2 linked regions of the Oreochromis niloticus genome follow. The protein of the gene in region 1 interacts with the protein of each later gene in a pairwise test. Links are inferred from orthologs where the notes say so. Each region holds a gene or a part of one and is shown in the gene's direction. Other genes may lie near its edges.

Evidence for each region.
Region 2: the proteins of lemd3 (region 1) and smad9 interact in binary tests that used the Homo sapiens proteins (3 or more experiments, as listed by UniProt). The link is inferred for Oreochromis niloticus from reciprocal best matches to the Homo sapiens genes LEMD3 and SMAD9.

What each region holds. Positions count from the first base shown.
Region 1 is NC_031981.2:544,745-551,932, forward strand, and holds the start of lemd3 (inner nuclear membrane protein Man1), read left to right. Parts: upstream 1-3,921; 5' UTR 3,922-3,995; coding exon 3,996-5,325; intron 5,326-5,851; coding exon 5,852-5,886; intron 5,887-7,188.
Region 2 is NC_031975.2:15,859,961-15,867,875, forward strand, and holds the start of smad9 (mothers against decapentaplegic homolog 9), read left to right. Parts: upstream 1-4,672; 5' UTR 4,673-4,824; intron 4,825-6,614; 5' UTR 6,615-6,974; coding exon 6,975-7,170; intron 7,171-7,874; coding exon 7,875-7,915. Other genes in the region: alg5 (dolichyl-phosphate beta-glucosyltransferase), read left to right, coding at 366-451, 762-877. UniProt on the Homo sapiens protein: Transcriptional modulator activated by BMP (bone morphogenetic proteins) type 1 receptor kinase. SMAD9 is a receptor-regulated SMAD (R-SMAD).

The sequences.
Region 1 (7,188 bases):
TCCTTGACCTAAATGCAAACGTATTTGAGGTCAAGGAAAACAGCCGTGCACTGAGAATCAGAACAATGTCACACTGCTCTCCTTAACATAAACCCAGATGTTCACTGTTTTGAAACTCTTATGTGCAGAACATGAACTACAAAATCCATTTGTTTTATGGAGGTCATATAAACAAGAACATTTCAAAGGCTGGAATAGAAATTTGGGGCTGTAAACTATCTACAGCAGATGAACAGTATCTGACAGTCATGTCCTTAAGAAATAGGATAGACTCCTGCAAAGACCTGAAACAGGACCTGAGCGATGACCCTTCAGCTGATCCATCACTGAAGCCTCATCAGAAATGGTCTGGGTTAAAGGGTGGCTGTTAAAGGTATGCAACATTACACAATAACCAGACTGCAAAAATCAGTGGCAATAGGTCTGATGGACTGATCAATTTAAACAGTACCATTAAATTTTGATCTTTAAATCATCTAATTGGCAACAGCCTCATTTTTCAGCATGACAATGATCCCAAACACACTGTCAATGCAGTAAAAGCATAGTTAGATAGAAAAACACGCAGTGGTAAATGGTACATGGACTGATTCTTATATCAAAGCACTGTATACAACACACACTGGAACACCATCATGGATTGGCCTCCCTGAGGGCGCGACTCAGCAGATCTTCGTGACAAAAATAAAAAAGCAGAAATATCCAAAGAAGAAGATAAATCATTGCACTCATTTCCCCAACAAAAACAGAGAAATGGTGGTTCAAGACTTTTGCACAAGACTACTTAGAAGACTAAATGTGATATGCCGTGCAATAAGGAACCACAGAGACTATGTCGACCTCACAGTCATGTCTTTACTGAAATGGAGCATACCCAACCAACGCTGACACCGCTCTCCACAGACTGTTGCCCCCTGGTGGACCAAACCCCGCCCACCCCCTGTTACATCATAACATTCCTCCCCCGTTAAACTGAAACTACTCTGTAGTTTTAAGTACTACATAAAATACCCATAAAAAACGTAACCTTAATTAAAATGTAAAAAACTCGCAACCCTGTGGCTGGCGACTCCTGTGAGCCACTATTCTCTGTATGCGGCGTCACCACTGGTGTAACTTGCACCTCCATGTTTCTTTCATCAGTGTCCATCGTCTCAGCATGGATGATTGGTGCAGCTTTTGGGGGCTCGCCCTGGTGGCCCTCGGGTATTCCTGCTGGTAGGTAAGGCTCCAGGCGGGCAAACAGCCACCACCTTCCCATTGCCCGGCATCACCGTGCAGGAAACAGGCCCCTTCATTTCCTGTATAAGTCCTGGTATCCATTTGGGTCCTGCGGCATAGTTTCTGGTATACACTGTGTCTCCAATAACCAATGTGCCCTCCTTGGCATGTCTATCATGATGCAGTCTTTGGCTATCTTGTTTTGATGTCACTTTCTATTTCAAGTCGGGGTGTATGAGATCAAGAGTACAACTCAACTTCCGGCCCATCATCAACTCAGCGGGGGACGCTGTTGTGATTCGGTAACTAAACAAAGCCCTGTTTAACTTGGTTGCCAGTGTGTCTCCGGTACTCTTTTTCATGAGTTCTTTGAAAGTTTGCACCGCTCTTTCTGCTAACCCATTAGATGCTGGGTGATATGGAGCAGAGCTGACATGTGTGATGCTGTTCTTTGCCATGAACTCTTTAGTTTGTGCACTTACAAAACACTGGGCATTGTCCGAGACCACCGTGAGCGCTGAAACGGTTTCTCAAGCAGTCTATAGTGGCAGCTGATGCCACTGGACACACATATAACCATTTGGAGTGGGCGTCCACTATTACTAGGAACATTTTACCCAAAAATGGGCCAGCATAATCGATAATAAATAAAACTACTTCAAGAGAACCATCAAATCCACTTTTTATCAAATTAAATATTCTCAAATTTAAAGATTTGGTTGACCTCAGAACTGCGTAAACAATTTACAAAGCAGCAAATAAATCTTTGCCCCACAACATTCAGAACTTGTTCCAAATAAGACCAAATACTCCTGACCTGAGAGGAATCCTTATGTTCAGCAAGCCAGTAGTAAGGACAAATGTAAAATATCACAGCATTACAGTCAGAGGAGTTAGTGTGTGGAACACCTGTACAGGTGAGATCAAGACAAGTACATCAATACAAAAACTCACACGATTGTTCAAAAATAATAAATTGCATGAATATAGGAAATCTTCCTCTCAGTGACTGAGTCGTCTCATTGTGTCCTCATTTTTTATAGATCAAGGCCTGAGTAACCCAAGCTTAAGTGTTCATTAAGGTGTTTGTCACATAGATATAAAATAAGCTCAGCGATTAAGGGGTGTTATAGACAGGGAGATTAGTTTATGTAAAAATGTAGTTTGTCGTTGTTCTGGTTTACATGCTGAAAACGGTTTTATTTCTGTATGTTCAATGTGTTAGATTTGTACATAGTTAAACATATCTGATCAAATAATGTTGAGTCCTGGATATGGATTTGTAAGCAATGAAATTTGAAATAAGGGGGTAGGAACAAGAAAAGTGTAAACTTCATCCTACTCCTTTTCAAGCACACACATTCTGTAGACATAGGTATATACATGAAAACTTGATGATTTTTAAGTTTTGTTTTTTTCTGTTGTTATTTCAATTATATTTGCATGTTCGAAATAAAATTATATCTATCTATCTATCTATCTATCTATCTATCTATCTATCTATCTATCTATCTATCTATCTGTATTCTCAATGGCTTCTCCGGCCACTCCCAGGGGTGTAGCGGTTCCTCTTGAGGCCTGAGTCTATGTTCTTGACACGTACTGCAGTACTTCACCTTGTCTTCAATGTCAGTCTCCATATGCAGCCACCACATGTAGCTTCTGGCCAGGCCCTTCATGCGTCTCATTCCCGGGTGTGACTGTGCCAACAGGGCACAGCTACATCAGTCACACCCGCATGACCATCTGGCATGCGGTGAGCTAGCACTGCTCACACTCTGTAGGTGGACGCATCGCAAGATAGAATTAAATCTTTCTTCTCATCATAGTGTGCCAATACACTACTTGACTGCACCAGTTCCAGTTTTTGACTTGCAGAAAACTTTGGTGCCCAACACCACTGTTCCTCCTTTCTCAGAAGCTTGTGCAGTGGGCCCACCAGCGTGGACAAGTTTGGCAAGAACAGAAGTTCAACAACTCCAAATAAGCTTTGAGCTCTGTCACTGATTTTGGGGGTACCGCCTCCAGCACTGGATGTAAACTTGTCTTATCCACCCGGTGTGCTAAAAATGTCACTTCCTTTTCTGTGAACTGACATTTAAACTCAGGGCCGCCTCCTCTAATTGCCGCAGGACTTCATCCAGTCTCTGAAGATGTTCTTGGTCCTTTTTTGGACCATTTACTCCATTCACTGAGTAGTAAAGTGGAATTTTTAGATAAAAGACAACAACAACAACAATTGTTTAAAAAAAAAAAAAACAGAAAACAAACAAACGAGAAAAACAGTAAATTTAATTGGAAAATATTTTATTCACTGATGCAGATTTTTCAAAGCTAAGCCTGACTTGAATTACTGGAAGAATGACGTGAGTCTGTGACGTGAAATTACTTTCATTACTTAACAATTTTGATTTAATGTGATTGTTTTCTCTGACTCTTTTTCCTTTTTGTGTGATTTGTATTTATTTATATTTTTCATACTTGGATGTTTTTCGTTGTTACCGTGCGTGCCTTCAGTTGTTAGATGGTTACTTTTGTTTGTTTGTATACGTGTTCAATAAAGCTATTTGTTTGAAAAAAAAGTAATTAGATATTTAATATGCGCACAGAAAAAGTGAAACAAAATATTATTTGAAAACATACGCGACGTAATAAAGGGGGGTGTCTGCGACATATTTTCGCAGCTTGTTGGTGATTTTGAACACAACCCAGTTGGTTGCCACTTCACCTCTACGTCATTTCCGTCACAGAACCGTCTTCGAGGTCTTTTCAAGATGGCGTCAACGCAGTTAACGGATGAGGAGCTTTTTTTGGAATTAAAACGTTTTGGTTTCACTCCAGGGCCCGTTACTGAAAACACTCGTCCGGTGTACTTGAAGAAACTCAAGAAGCTTCGCGAAGAGCAACAGCAGCGAGGACTAAGACCTGGTAAAACCCGTACTATCGGTGCCATTAACAGTACCACTGGCGGCGGTAGCACAGTGGCATCTAGGCCAGTCAGCCATGACGTCACGCACCTGAATACAAGCAGGAGACCGGGCCGGAAGTCCTCCCTCCTCGGCTTCAGCTCCGACGAGTCTGACGCTGAAACCCCACTAAAGAGGAAAGGCCTCGGTCACAGTGGCAGAGCGAACAGAAGCTCCAGTTCTCAACAGCAGCCTAAGATTAGGCCTGCCTCAACGCCGAGTGTGGCTATCAAGAGTCGGTACGACCACAGTGCGACACCAAGCAGCAATTTTTCCCTGGGTCAGAACGGAGAGAGACGTGTCTCACTGGGCTGGGGAGTCGGTGACAGATCCAGGTCTGATGCGGGACTACGGCGTTACGACGACTCGGGGGACGAGGACAATTATGAGGAGGATATGGAAAAGAAGTCCCGCTCTTTAAATGGTCGCGGGGCGTCTCGCCTGAATGCTAGCAAATTAGCTGGAGATTACTCAGACTCGGACGAGGAGGAAGTTAGTGGGCTTGGCGTCGGCGACCCAGAATGCGACAGATTGGAGCCTCGACGAAACCACCCCAGTGTGGCGTTATCTTCCGACGTTACTGATCGAGGGTCTGCGACCGATGGGCAGAACACAGAAGCTACGCCTCGTCGTTTTCTAAACATGGGGGGGAGTCAAGGTGAGGATGAAGAGGAAGATGATTTAAAGAGAAGGGACTTTAGCCGCTTGGGAGACTCGCGGAGTCACACACTTCCAAGGAAACCCATCTACGGGTCACTTACCGAAAACCACAAAGGATATACCGGTAAAAACAGTCCGGCCACGGGGGAGGATGGAGCATCCAGAAGCAACAGCACCGAGCTGAGACCGCGCTTCTCCACCTACAGCGGTCTGTCGCAGACGTACAGGCGCAACCACTCTAATCACACCCCTGCTCCCAACCATTCCTGCGGCCACGCAGCGCTCAAGAGAAACGTGTCTGCTCCCGAAGATGAGCTTCTCCAGCAGTTCAAAAGGGAAGAGCTAGCTTCCTCAGGTAGTTTTAGCGCTCACTACCTGTCCATGTTCCTGCTCACAGCGGCGTGCCTCTTCTTTGTGCTGCTGGGGCTCATGTACCTCAGGATGAGGGGTTCAGGAGCCTTGGAGGTGGATAACGTCAGTAAGTATCTGGGCGAACTGCCTATTTGGTTTCCGTGGAGTGTTAAAGTTGTGGCAGTTTAGGGACTGTAATGCATGTAATTGTTTTATTGCCTGGTAATGTATAGAAGTGTTTATTCTTTGTGTATTTTGAGTGGATGTTCCTGATGAACAAACACCAAAGTTGGAGAGATTCCCAAATACAAACAGATCCAAAGATGAGCATTTTTAGACTGGAAGGAATCCGTACAGTCAGTCTGCCCAAGCACAGAACAAGCAGCAGTCGGAAGGAGACGGTGCTCCAAATTCACTTCCACCTATTTCTGAGGAGTTGTTTTTTTGTGCCCCTACAGATAAAAGGATTATGTGACTATCAAAAGAATCATGTTACACTTAAAATGAGGCAGAATGTGCAAAAGCTAAGAATGCACACACTAACAGTTTTATATTTAACAGAAAAAGTAATTTATCGATGTTTTTCTCAATCCATGTACTTTGGAAACTTCTTTGAGAATTGTCCTGACTGTCTGTCTCGTCTTCATTTTCAGTTAATAGCCCTCCCCCGGAGTTTGACACGCCTAATGTAAGTAAATACTTTCTTCAGGTTCTCCCTACTCTTTAAGTTAAGAGGTTTTCAAATGTACAGCACAGAAAATGTGATTACATTAACAGTGTGTACCATGTCAGTAACTTACAATGCTTCATTCTAAAGCTGATTTATTTATTTTTTTTGGTATATTTGTCACACGCTTCAGATCATCAACTAAATTGTGACATTAGATATAAGATAATCCAAGTAAATACAATATGATAAATGAGGATTTGATCTGAAAACGGGTATACAGGTCTAATGGGCCGTATGTTGAAAAGTAATTGCCTCCTTGTTTAATCATTAATTAACTACAATTTAAAGAAACATAAGAACAAAGTCTCTGACATCCATCAGTCTGAAAAGGGTTACAAAGCCAGGCTTTGGGAGCAAACTGAGGTGAAAGCCATTATCCACAACTGAAGAAAACTTGAACCAGTGATGAAACTTCCCAGGAGTGGACGGCCTACCGAGAGAAACCGAGAGTTATCAGATAGTCATCCAGAAGGTCACAAAAAAGGCTCTCAAGAACTGCTGGTCTCACTTGTCTCAGTTCAGGAAAGTGTTTATGATTCAGCAATAATTCAGTTTTATTCGTCTCGCACCAATCACAAGAGCAGTCCTCCGTATTGTAAGGTAGAAACTCTACCGTATACAGAGACAACCCCAACAACACCCTGTGACCAAGCACACAGTGGAAAGTAAAAACACCCTTTTAACAGGAAGAAACCTCTGGCAGAACCTGGGGAGGGGCAGCCACCTGCCACGACCAGGTGAGGGTGATGGGAGAAAGACAGGCTGTGGAAAAGAGCAAGCGATGATAGATAAATGATTACATACAGAGAGGTGTGTAAGCACAGTGAGCCACCAAGAAACACTCAGTGCATCATGGGAAGCCCACAGTAACCTAGGCCTATTGCACAGTAACTAAGGGAGGGTTCAGGGTCACCGGATCCATCCCTGACCAGATGCTTTACCAAAAGGGGAAGTTTGAAGTTTGAAGCCTAATCTTAAAGGTAGCGAGGACGTCTGTCCAAACTGGGAGCTGGTTCAGTGGAGGGGGCCCTGAAAGCTGAAGGCTCTGCCTCCCATTCTACTTTTAAATATGAGCCACAAGTAAGCCTGCAGTCTGAGAGTGAGGTGCTCTGTTGAGATGATATTGTACTATGAGGTCTTAAACCCTGTATGTGAGGAGAAAGATTTTCAGTTAGATTCTGGAATTAACTTGGAGCCAGAAAGAGAAGCCGGTGTGAGAGATAATCATCAATGCCCTCGTCCCTGTCAGGACTCTGGCTG
Region 2 (7,915 bases), on another chromosome or scaffold:
GCTTCTCCTTCAAATCAAAAACAGACAGTTAAGGTGCTTCAGGCATCTGGATAGGATCCCTCCTGAGTGGCCGTTAGGTGAGCAGCAAACTGTCCATGATACAAAGTAACAGAAAAAAACACTGGTCACAAGGATGTTTCATCTGTTTTCTGATAATTAACTGGTGAAAACTCCAAGAAGTGAATTTTTGATGAAATTTAAACAGTCTTCTGTGTCCAAATCAGTTGTGAGCATCACACTAATTAATGCTAAATAACTAAGAAGTCCTGAGGATTTATACCTAGCACAGGTGATGGAGTCACAGTGGAGTTTTAGGTTTTAACCTGCAGTAAAACAGGAACTTTAAATCCACTTTCTTCTCACAGGGCTTTTGATGTGGAGCTCCTGTACATTGCCCAGTGTTTTAAAATCCCCATAGCCGAGGTGGCGGTCAACTGGACTGAAATAGAAGGTACGACTTTTTTTTTTTTTCTTTCCATGAAATATGTGGACGTGTCTCCTCCCACCATGCCACCTATCTGCAGGGCTATAAATATCTCTGTAGGGTGTGTTTGGAAGTCTGTTTGTGGTTGATTGCATTTATTTTTAGACCTTTTGTAATAATTTGTAGAAGTTGATCTTTGTGTGTGAGCTTCATATAAGCCAGCCTAGCACCACTGCAATAAAGTCTTCCTTTTTATTGCACTGTCAGGCATATTTCCAGTATTTTTCTTATGAAAGCACGACTTGAAGCTGAAGCGCCTCTGGGTTTGTTCTAACAGGGTCCAAGCTGGTACCGTTTTGGAGCTGGCTGCAGATGGGACGAGACCTGGTTTTCATTCGCCTGCGCTACATCACCGGAGCCTGGAAACTGCAGTCATCGCATAAGACTGATTAGCCAATCAGACGAGCCCTTGTATCATAGAGACGGCCTATGATACGGCCACCGAGCCTTTGGGTGGTTTGGGGGGGAGCATTACAGCTGTGTCCATCATTCACTGTAATCAGAAGCAAAGCACGGTGTATCAATACTTCTCCTTTCCAGGCATCACTGGATGGAAGTAATGACACAGTTTTGGTTTCCTCATGATCCTGCCTTTTTTTTATGTGATTACCGTTTGTTATGGCTTATGTTAAAAAATTCTGTTGCCACGGGTTACAGAACATCTCTGTGGTTCGTCCATGAACTAAGTTACATCATGTTGTGCCCAGTCAGCCGTGAGAAGGACTTTTAGTGGTGTAATGTGGAGGACCTACTGATGTGAGGGAGTGATTTTATTTTGTAGGGTTGATGGGCTTAATGACATGAACAAGAATAATAAAAAAGTCAGTGATTTATGACTCGATAATTGTTATTAACTTAGTAACTGAAGCTGCAGCAATAGGTTGAGCTACAGAAATGTAACTGACAACTGTTGTTAATTCAAAAAAATATGAGCATTTGATTGATTTTGAGTTTTTTGGGGTTTTTTGCACTGCTGTCAAATAGAATCAATGAATGACTGACAGTATGAAAACAACTACACGCTTTACAGTATGTAATCAGATTGGTGAATAGGAAGAAAAACATCCATTAATCCAATCCTTTAACTGCTTGTCTCACCTTAGTTGCAGTTGGGCTGAAGCCTATTCCAGCTCATACCGAGTGATAGGCAGGATTTATCCTGAGCAGAAAGAGAGACAAATTGATAGAAATGTGCAGAAAACAAACTCATTTTACACGGTCGGCCACATACAGCCCACTTTGATCTTTGGCCGTAGCAACGAAACTGCCCTTTCTGTCAGTGTAAAGATGTTTAACTTCACAGTTAATCCCATTTAATATAAAAAGAAGTCCAATGGCAGTGGTCCAGCTCTTTATCAGCAGGAAATGCTATGAAACCTATGAATTCAAATCCAAAATCAATGCCCTCCTTCACATTTTATATTTTCCAAATTTGAGCAGTGGGCCAAATTGAGTTCTTTGCCAGACCGATTCTGGCCCCCAGGCCTCGTGTTTGACACCTCTGACGTAGAGATTAAAGAACCATCAGTGATGACATGGTTTCATACAATACAGAGAAGCTTAAACTGCTCTGCTGTGTTTGTAACAATGCTTACTGCAGCTACAGATTTTTTGTAAAGACATGACATCTCTTTGTTAATACTGCAGCTAAAGGAGTTTCTTATAGTAGGGCCGAGGATCTTTAATGGGTCTTAAAACTTGACTAATTGTGACTGATGGTTCCCAAACATGCAGTGAGGCACCTTTCAGGCTTCTTACAGAGAGTACCAGGGTCAGGAAAGTACCTTTGAAATATTATTACTAGATGTCTGCAGGCTCTAACTCCACTAAACGTTTAATTTGGTATAAATCATGTTTAACTGATTAAGTTATCTGGGGTCAGCTCTAGGAAATGTTCAGCACAGTAGGCAGTGTGATCTGGCCTTTCCTCAACATGAAAGAAAGTAGGAAACCCTGGACTGCGGTATTTATCTCAATATTCATCCTTTTGTTTGTCTCCCAGGCCTAGTGTGGACATCTTGGAAGGAGTCCAGCAAGCGTTTTTGTGGTCTGAGTAAATGAACTTTAATAGTGCTGTTTTCTTATGCAAGCCTGAGGTCTCGGCTTTGCGCTCATGCGGATGTCTCTGAGGGCCTCCCGGAGCCCCAGGGAGAGCATCCTGTTTGTGCCCCGCTCGTCTGGCTGTGTCTGCCCTACCACACAAGACACAGAAGTGGGGAATCGCAAGCTGCACATTTCTAGTTTCCTGCCTCCAGATTTGGCACTGCAGAAAATTAGGGTGCCATATTTGAAGATTTGCAAAAGCGTTCGATTGGCACCAATTAGTCCATGAAATGAAATGAAATTTCATTTCAAGTAACCAAATGTAATGCTCCACAAAATAGGCCCTGTGTTTCTAATGGGAGATTAAAACCCTTACAGGCTGTTGTGCTCACATCTAAAACGGTGATCAAACACACAGCCCACTGCTCTCGGTCCTGCTCTGAGACCTTCCCGCGGCTTCTTTGGCGGTCCCCGAACCAAACCTTGGACCTTCATAGTCCCCCACCTTTTTAGGCGCACACCAGCGGATTGACTTAGTGGTGTGTTCTGATGGTTTACCTGGTGGTTAAGATGAAAAAAAAAATCATATTGTTTTTTATGGGATATTCAAAGTAGTTTCACTTCGCGTTGGGAGTGTTGTTACATCCCGCAGCAGTTGCTGTAAACTCTGAAAATGTCAAACTTGTAGACTCACTGTCGCCAGCCGGGCTTGCGTCATTAGCTGGACCAGTCACGGCACTCCCAATAAAGGATCGTATCCATCCGCAGTGAGAAAGACCTCAGCGCTCCCAACAATGGATAACAAAACAAACTTGGATTTTTAAAACGAAGAAAAAAAAAATATAAATAAAGATGATTTCACTGCATGTGTGGAATCATACATGAAGACTGAGTACTAAACCGGAAGATGTTTTACTTTATCTTTTCTTTTTTAAGCCTACAGGTGCAGCATGTGCGTGCACGTGCGCGCGACCACAGGAAAGTAACACTGTGAGGTAGTTGGATATGATAGCAGATTTGATCGTGCCCGAGCTGGACTTTATATATAACTTAAAAGTTAATATAAAGAAGCAGATTTAGTCTTATACTCGGTACATTGCACCTATAGCCTGGCCTGCGCCCAGCAGGTGCTCGTTGCTGTAAAGGAAGAAGATGACAGCAAACAGACCCTCGCAGGCAGAGAGATAGGTGTAACAAAAACTCGCTGATAAACACTTTAAGTACAATAATTATTAGAGTTTTATCAGGTAAAATCAGTGAAATCTTCTGCAATACTAGAACAGGTGTGATTTGGGGATTTTTATTTCTCTATTTTTCTTTTCCTTTATATCGTGATTAGGTGATTGGGAGCTCAGGTGCTCGAACACAAACGCTCGTGCGTGCTGCCGCGAGCGCTGAATCTGAAATCCCTGAAATCCTGAGAAAGTTCCAGGAGGGGGGGAGGCGGAGGGATCTAGCATGCAGGCGCTGCGGTTCCAGCCAGGCTGACGCCGCCGAGGCTGTGTGGCGCTCGGCTGGGGCTGCTGGAGGAGTGGAGCCTCCAAGCTTCACAAACCTGCGTCAAAGCGACCGCAACGAACAACGCCGGAAATAACTAAGACTGAGCCTTCATAATAAACGCGGAAGTTCACGCTGTGTGCGACGTCCTCTCCAAAAGCAAACAAAACAAAACATACATTTTATATATTTTCATGTAGACTTACTTTACAACCTCATTTCTAACACTTACCTGTAGAAATTACTGATAATAATTTCACTTAGAAGATTTAAATAAAAAATAATGATGTTATTTTATTAAAGTTAATGATTTGTAATGCCAAGTGTTTGTTTGTTTTTCACTCACCTTTTCCACTCTCTTGGTGCTTACCGCACCACTCTGCATTTAATCATTAGTTATGTCTGTTTCTCTTCCACAGCGGACAAAAGTAGTTTTGTACTTCACTTTTAAAAGTAGAATTTTCAAATATTGATTGAAGATAGACAAAAATGTATAAACATATAGGAACTTTTTCTTTCATTTTTTTAATCTGGCTCTTGTCAAATGGAGCCTGTGGCTATATTCGTTTATAAACTGGCGTCTACAAATTGAGTTGGCGATGCTTTTATTTAGAAATCACCAGCAGGGCGCAAAGTGTTATTGAGGCCAACTTGACCCTTCTACACATGCTCACAGACTCAATCACACACACATACAAACAGGCACACACCTTCGCAGCGTCAGTGTGCTGGCCTGACTTACTACAAACAGGAAAGCGTCGCACACTCACACGGCTGTCTGCACTGCACTTGTTACAGAGGTGAGAAAATAAACTAACTGGCTCGTTTTTCCTTTAAATATTTTAAATGTATATTTGTTTTGTTTTTTATGTCACGCGAATTTGAATTCCTGTTAAGAGAGAAATAGTATCAAAATTAAATGTTACCCTCTTGCACTGTCGGCAAACTTTAAGGGGGGTTTCATTTGTTCAGATTTGTCATCTACTACATGCTGAGGTTAGTATAAAGTTGCAAAGCTGAACTGAATTAATTATTCAAGACGTATTTAAAAATAATAACTGCAGTTTTCTTTGCTCCTACACGTGTTTGATTTGCTGGAGCTTTTCTCTGTTGTAGCATGCCTTCATCACACAAGAATGAGCCGAGCGACTTCAATGTCATTGCTCCTAATCGCATATTTGCAGTGAAGGTGTGGAGGTTAGGTCCGAGCCTGGATTTTGTAGCTGCAGAATGACACGCAGTTGAGTTGTAGTAAAAAGGAAGCTGGCGTGTTTACTTTTTTTGGGAAGGGGTGTCCTGGTGATAAAGCATTAGGTAATTAGCCTATCTGAGCCTGCAGACTGAGTGACGCCAGGCTTCATAAAAGCAGCAGCAGCGGTGGACTGATGCCGCATTGAGCCCTGTGCGCTTTTTGCTGTCATTGTAAACCCCAGCTGTCTGTGTGTCTGTCTGCGGGAAACCGGCGCTGGCCATGAGCACATGAGGGCAAAGAAAAAGTGAACATACAGATCCGCATAACTCATCACCTGTGTTTAGTTTGACACAAAAAAAAAAAAAAAAAAAAAAAGAAATTCAGAAGAAAGTCTAAAGTGGTTCTGTTTCTTTTACAGGAAAGGGGGGGAAGCTGAGCTTCCAGTTCACTTTTATAAACTCAGTCTGCCAAAAGATTCATATTTTTTTCCCCTTTCGGCATCAGATGCGCACAAACATGTGGAAAAGTGTTCTGGCATGCAAGGATGATTTGCAAAGAGCTGATAGTACAAGATGTAAAACTATGCGTTTCACCCAAAAGGTCGGGCATGATGCTACAGAAAGACGCACAAACAGGAGACTAATAAAATTACGTGTTTATTTTTATGAATATCTGGGAATTTCTTTGCGTACAAGGATGCTGCCGAACCCACGAACCCTACCTAAATAATAGAACTTTAATCTGATACTTTTTTTGCCTACACCTTATTCTTGGCATTCATATAATAATATATAATGTTCAGTAGATTTAGATGGACAGTGAGAGGCAAACAGAGGGAGAGAGCTCTCTGTCTGTCGCCCTCCCTTTCTCCCTCTCCCCCTCCTGCCCTGTGATGTGTTCTGGCCAGACAGTATGGCTCCTGGGCGTCAGTGGCATGATCATAGAAACAGAGGCCAGAAAGGACATTCCTCATTGTTGGTGAATCTAGAAATGAGCTTGGCCATCTTGGCCTGAGCTTTCTGCAGCAGTTTTGTGAAGTGTTTCATTTTCTCCATAGAGAATAATAACACTGCTGTTCAGCATGTGGGGAGATCACTTTCATGCGGGCGTGCTTTCTGTAACAGCGCCCTGCTGATATGGCCCTCCATATCATGAAAATCCACCTTTGATGCCCACTTCATTAAATATGAGTAGTTTTTGGTTTGGTGTTTTCTCTGGCTGTTCTCATCACTCCGCACCAGCTTATCACCTTAGTGACTCTGTCTTAATTCTGCTTTTCCAATAAAACCCGAGGTCTCTCTTTTTTTTTTCTTCCTAACCTCCAAACTTTTTTCTTTTCTTTTTTTTTGTTTTTTGGCTGAATTATCTGTTAATACAATCTCTTGCTTCTCCTGCCAGATGATTGAAACTTGACCTGGATTTCTGGCTGTGTAAAGAATAACCTTCCCTGCTGGAGGCTTCGACTCCAGAGCTGCCGGATCCCAACACAGAGAGGGGATTTAGGGGGTTTGCGCTGCACTGGCAGGAGTCCAGCGCCTCTACTAGAGCCGCTCGGAAGTAACAGTGGAATACAAAAAAGAAAAAGAAAAAACGGCGCCTGTTTACACAGACTCATCACACCACGTCTTTCATCCTCACCTCTTCTGTTTCCTCTTCTGGCTGCTCATTATTTGCATCTTCACTCTTATCCACAAGGGAACTTTTATCCCTTTAACAGGACCCATCAGCTCGTCTTGCCACCCATTTATCCATCTCATAATGAACTCCTCTACCTCCATTACATCCTTATTCTCCTTCACCAGCCCGGCAGTGAAGCGCCTGCTCGGCTGGAAACAAGGGGACGAGGAGGAGAAGTGGGCGGAAAAGGCCGTAGACTCTCTAGTGAAGAAACTGAAAAAGAAAAAGGGGGCAATGGAAGAGCTGGAGAGAGCACTCAGCTGCCCCGGGCAGCCTAGTGAGTATCACAGTGTCCAATATAGAAGTTTAGTCTAGCAGTTCTAATTGTAGAGGTCAAAATAAACACGAAGATTATTTAGACAGGACGACATTTACAAGATGGGAAAGACAAACACAAACAGTAATGCAGTAATTCTTGTTTCCTGTGGGGGGAAAAAAGGGATGCTTTTACCTGTCTGGGAATCAAAGGAAATGACTAACGGTTGTACCTGGGCAGGACTTCATTGATGAGATCACAAGGTATAAATTTTATCAACTATAAATCAGAGTTGATAAATAATATATATAATACTTTAATTCCAATAATTTTATTTATATATAGCACTTTTCAAAAAACAGATTTACAAAGTGCTTCACAGTTCAAATAAAAGCCACAGATTGAAGATAAGTGTACATGTTCAAACATGCAGACACATAATCAGCCATACTGGCAGTTGCAACATACACACATGCGTGCAATGTTTTAATCTGGTTCTTTCTTTCTTTCTTTCTTTTTTTAACATGTTTAAAAATATCCAGAAGAATTTAAAAATGTAAATTAAATATATAATAAATAAAATGAAAACAGAGTTTCTTACAGCGCTTTAGTATTTCAGTAAAACGGTCAGTGGTACAAAAACATTTAATGTTTATGTGAACACAGCACATTTAATTTGGTAGAGTTCTGTTTTAAAAAAGAGCTATTTCATGTGAATCCTCCAGGTAAGTGTGTGACCATTCCTCGGTCGCTGGACGGGAGGTTG